Linked DNA regions of Kluyveromyces lactis. The protein of the gene in region 1 purifies or fractionates together with the protein of each later gene. This does not show direct contact. Links are inferred from orthologs where the notes say so. Each region holds a gene or a part of one and is shown on either strand. Other genes may lie near its edges.

The links. Proteins that work in one complex are often made in the same cells at the same time.
Region 2: the proteins of RPS3 (region 1) and CDC33 purify together in Saccharomyces cerevisiae (affinity purification with western blotting; 3 studies listed by BioGRID, with this or other methods). This does not show direct contact. The link is inferred for Kluyveromyces lactis from reciprocal best matches to the Saccharomyces cerevisiae genes RPS3 and CDC33.

Annotation. Positions count from the first base shown.
Region 1 is NC_006040.1:705,104-707,533, forward strand, and holds RPS3 (40S ribosomal protein uS3), read right to left. Parts: upstream 1,236-2,430; coding exon 522-1,235; downstream 1-521. Other genes in the region: SHR3 (Shr3p), read right to left, coding at 1-102. UniProt on the Saccharomyces cerevisiae protein: Component of the ribosome, a large ribonucleoprotein complex responsible for the synthesis of proteins in the cell.
Region 2 is NC_006041.1:1,876,357-1,878,836, reverse strand, and holds CDC33 (translation initiation factor eIF4E), read right to left. Parts: upstream 1,160-2,480; coding exon 527-1,159; downstream 1-526. Other genes in the region: VNX1 (calcium/hydrogen antiporter), read left to right, coding at 1-100; KLLA0_E20989g (uncharacterized protein), read left to right, coding at 1,755-2,480. UniProt on the Saccharomyces cerevisiae protein: Recognizes and binds the 7-methylguanosine (m7G)-containing mRNA cap during an early step in the initiation of protein synthesis and facilitates ribosome binding by inducing the unwinding of the mRNAs secondary structures.

The DNA.
Region 1 (2,430 bases):
GTCATATGGTTGATTAGAAAAGAAGATCCCCATCAAAAAAGTAGTTGATCCAATGATCAATGCTGTACCTACAGCACAAAAATCCTTATAAGTTAGGCCCATATTTACTTTCAGTCAATGTGTTTAGTGAGCGATACCTACGTTCTCTTAAAAATGGAACGTATAGACCCTACGTGTGGTATTAAATGGTTAACAATTCATCTATAATTGAGCCATTGGTTTTTTCAGTACGCACTATATATTCTCTTTTTTTTTAATAATTTACATGATTTTTGCCCACCGAATTTTTTTGATTAGTATGAAAGATAAAGGAACTGAAAGGCGGAAAGGCATTATCGGAAGGCGCTATCGATAAATCATTTTAAAAATCCATTGATAAAAGCAGGACGTTTTAATCGATGTCATCTGGGCATAGATTACTTATTTTTAAAAGAATTGATGAGTTTCTTAATATTTATACATATAAGAACGGTATTTAATAGACTAATTAATAATATAGAATCAAACAGATATCAATTGATTTAAGCAGATTCAGCAGCTTCAACTGGTTCAGTTGGTCTGTAATCCTTGACAGAAGGTTCCAAAACTGGTTCTTCTTCCTTTGGTTCGATGATGGTAACAGCATCTGGCAAAGCCTTTGGACCAGAGGTGTTTCTAGATGGGTCCTTCATGATCTTAACCTTAATACCCAAAACACCTTGTCTCAACAAAACGTGTCTGGTAGCGGTTTCAATGAAGTCGTTGACTGGTTGACCGGAGTGGATCAAGAAACCGTCAGCGAACTTCATGGACTTGGCTCTAGCAGCTCTCAACTTACCGGAGATGACAACTTCACAACCCTTGGCACCAGATTCCATAACGTATCTGACAACACCGTAAGCAGCTCTTCTGATGGCCAAACCGTTCAACAATTTGAACTTCATGGATTCAGCTTGAGCAACAGCGGACAAACCACGGTCATGGACTCTTTCAGCGTATAAAGCAATGGTACCACGCTTGTACTTGAATCTCTTTTCAATCAACAAGGTCAATTCGTTGATTCTTCTACCATTTTCACCAACAACATCTTGAACCTTAGTAGCTCTGATGATAATTTCGGTCTTGGTTGGAGTAACTCTGACTTCGACACCAGAGTAACCTTCTTCAGCCAATTCTCTGGTGAAGAATTCGTTCAATTCGGCGTAGAAAACACCGTCAGCGACAAGCTTTCTCTTCTTGGAGATAATGGCAACCATTTTTACTTTATTTGTTCGTCGGGGAGCTCGAAATTATAGGTGATAATAAAACTAACTAAAGTAAGTATCTTGTATGTCCAATGGCACTTATGTTCATAATGAACCAGATTGTAAAGCGATGATGAGAACAATATTCGTCAAACCGTCCGAATCGCTGCGATTGGTATGGTGAAAATGAAAAAATCATCTGAAAGACAGTATTTACTCACCAACACATGTGGTGTATGGGTTAATGCTTCAGATAAATGAACATTTTCAATGAGATAAGTACCCAAAATGGCAATGCAGAAAAAATTGGAAAAAAAACTAAAACAAAAATGTCCGGGTGAGCAGTCCCAGGAACATATATTTTCAAGTCACCTGGTAAGCGTAGAAAACTCGCCGTAAACAGAAAACTTCAAGACCGTTCCTCCATTTCCTAATGGGGAAGTTCCTAAATAGGATTTATACGCGAGATGTTCCACCCCCTGCATTGGTTTATGTGAATACTCGAGAGCCTTGTGGTAACTCGCATCACTTAGGAAACAGACAACACAATTGTTTCAACGAATAATAAAATGGGAAATAACATAGGAATTCCAGACAATGTTGCAATCACGGCGTGTCACAGCTGCATACTTGTTATTCCGAAAAGAAAGTACGTCAATATTGACCGGGTTTTAGCAGGTATATGACCCAATATTGCTTCGGGTAATTACAGGATGCCGTTTCGTTTTCTCTCTCTCTCTCTGTTTCTCACAATTTGAACGAAAAAAAAGAATAATATTGGGAGCCAGTACACCTGCAGAGGGTACAGCGAGCACACTCGAATATACGGAATGTACCAGAAATGCCTCAACCTACCTACCCACTACAATCCATTATAACAACTACCTTTTCATGTTCCTAGTAAGTTTTCCCTAAGGCCAAAAAAAAAAAAAGAAAATGAAAATCAGCTACTTGCTCACTCGAAACAAGCACATCGATTGGTGCAACTTGTGTGAATAAAAAGAAAGAACCATGTAGGTAGGCAGCTCATTTTGTAAATGGTTTTCTGAGATGTTCGGACTCCTGCACAGCCTTTATAATGGGCCAATCAATTCCACTTTGTAACTTACTAGTTCACTCGTAGATCCTTTTACTGGTTGCCTATACAGTTTATTCCGTCTACCGCACAAAGCACAAAACTGCGCTATTCACTCCATTTCCTAGAGCC
Region 2 (2,480 bases), on another chromosome or scaffold:
AATATTATTATACCTGGTTGTCATTTTCGGGTTCTATTTGCAAGAAATAATAGATGATGATTTCTGGGATATATCTCTTTTCGTTAGATTCATAAACTAAACTGACAGAATGAAATGTGGAGATACTAATCCACTGATAATTACACAGGAGAGGACTTTAAATAAAGAATAAACAGACACGTTAATTATTTATACATATCATTTAAAAAAGAGTTTACGAATAATAGTCGAAGGAATTATGATTAGCAGGACACGAAATGGATGTCGAAAGAGTGAAATCCAACCATTTTAAAATACCAAAAGTGTGCTGTCACAAACCGAGATTGTGATGCACCATAAAGATTCCCTTTATACGCTTTTTTTCCCTTTGGGTATGTGGTCAAGGTAAATTGAGATGATTCACAGCGATCAGATGAGGCCTGTCCAAAACAGATTTCTAACTATACTCATAATCCCTTGCATCGACAGTGTTTGGTAAATGTTGATTTAATTTATTGAGTGTTGAAATGAGGAGGGATGTGCTAATTTACAATAGAGCGGTTGGAGGAGCGTGACCTGAGTTAGAAGTTCTGTGATTGTAGAACTCCAACTTTTCACCTTCACCAAGTTGTAGAACTTGCTTAAACTTGGTAGCAATGTTAGTCAAAGCGTTCAAGTTGGTAGTTCTAGTCCACAAAGCAATCTTGAAAACAGCCTTTCTGACATTCAAGACGCAACCGTTGATTTCTGATTCTTCTTCGTCGATGGTTTCACCAATAACGGCCAATAGAGTTCTCAACCACAAATCATCGATGTTATGTCTTTTGTTCTTGAATTGGTACGACAACTTACCACCTTCAGAGTTGGCTTCATCTTCCCATTCAGGTCTGATATCGTTTCTGAACAAATGGTAATCAGATTTGATTGGCAAATCGAATGGCTTTGGAATACCATTTTGAATAGCCCAGAACTCTTCGACAGTATCCAAACTGGTCACTGGACGCAATAAATCAGACCACGATTCTGAACTATCCACAGGGGGCTTAGTATACCATAAAGTCCATTTGCTACTCAAAGGATGCTTCAATTGAAATTCCTTAGGATCAGATAAAACAGTAGCTGGCTTGGCTTCGTCCACAGTTAAATCCTGGGTCTTTTGAGTAACTTCTTCAACGGACATGATATTCTTCTTTGGTCGTAAGATCGATGTCTTTCAGGTTCAAAATTGATCAGGTAACCTCTGGTCTTATACAGATACATTTACGAGTAAAAAACACTCGAAAAATCTTAAACATGCGCAGAGAGTCAATCCAATCTTTGATATCACATTCGTTAATCCAACTTCATTTTTTCTTCCATTTGCCAACTTCCCATAGTTAACAAAATTGAAAACCTTCGCAGCTGCTGCCTGTACTATGCTGTCACTGCTACAAATTTTTTTTTTTCTTTCTTCTAAGAGAGGGTAATGACGTTACGACTTGTCCGGGTAAAACATGAATCAGTTGTCAATACACGTGATTATATTCAAAGGACGGGTAATATTGAGTTTTCTGGAGTTTTTCATGCTCTCGAAGCATGCGAATTGAAATACAAACCGTAGCTGGCTTGTTTTAGCAGGATATCGGTATTATGTAAATTAAAGGGAGTTTAATTATGACAAGCACCTCATTAACGTAGCTGCTGTCACTATATCCATCGAATAGAAAGTTTATTGATCAAGGTGATAGTTTGTCGTAACATATTTCTTTTTGCCAAAGCGACATTTTCCTTCTAGTATGCATTTATACAAAATTGGGAAAATGGTACTCGGAAGCGCAGCTGTCATTGTTTCTGCTTCACTGGGCGCTCTATATTTGTACCAAAACAAGCTTATATACCCATCTTGGGCACAAGGTGCTAGAGACCATGTAGATACGCCAGATCAATACGGTTTGCCTTATGAAGATCTCACTTTAACGACTTCGGATGGTGTTCTATTGAAAGCATTTGATATAAGGAATGAAAATTCGACTGCAACCATGCTTGTTCTTTGCCCCAATGCGGGGAATATAGGATATTTCCTGCCCGTTGCTAGGTTTCTCTATAATGAGTTTAATTTGTCCATTTTTTTGTATTCCTATCGTGGATATGGGTTATCAACAGGGTTCCCATCGGAGAGAGGATTGAAGATAGACGCAGATACCGTCATGGACCATTTGACAAACAGTGAATTTCATAAATCAAGGAAGCTAATACTTTATGGGAGGTCCCTTGGTGGCGCTAATGCCATTTATCTTGCTAGAAAATTTACCGATATCTGCGATGCCATTATCCTAGAAAATACTTTCCTGTCCATTCGCAAAGTTATCCCATACGTTTTCCCAATGCTGAAGAATGTGGCATTCATGTGTCATGAAGTCTGGGATTCTGAACAGGAAATTGTCAACATACAAGATGATACTTTACCTTTCTTGTTTCTTGCTGGTTTAAGAGATGAGATTGTCCCACCCCCTCATATGAAA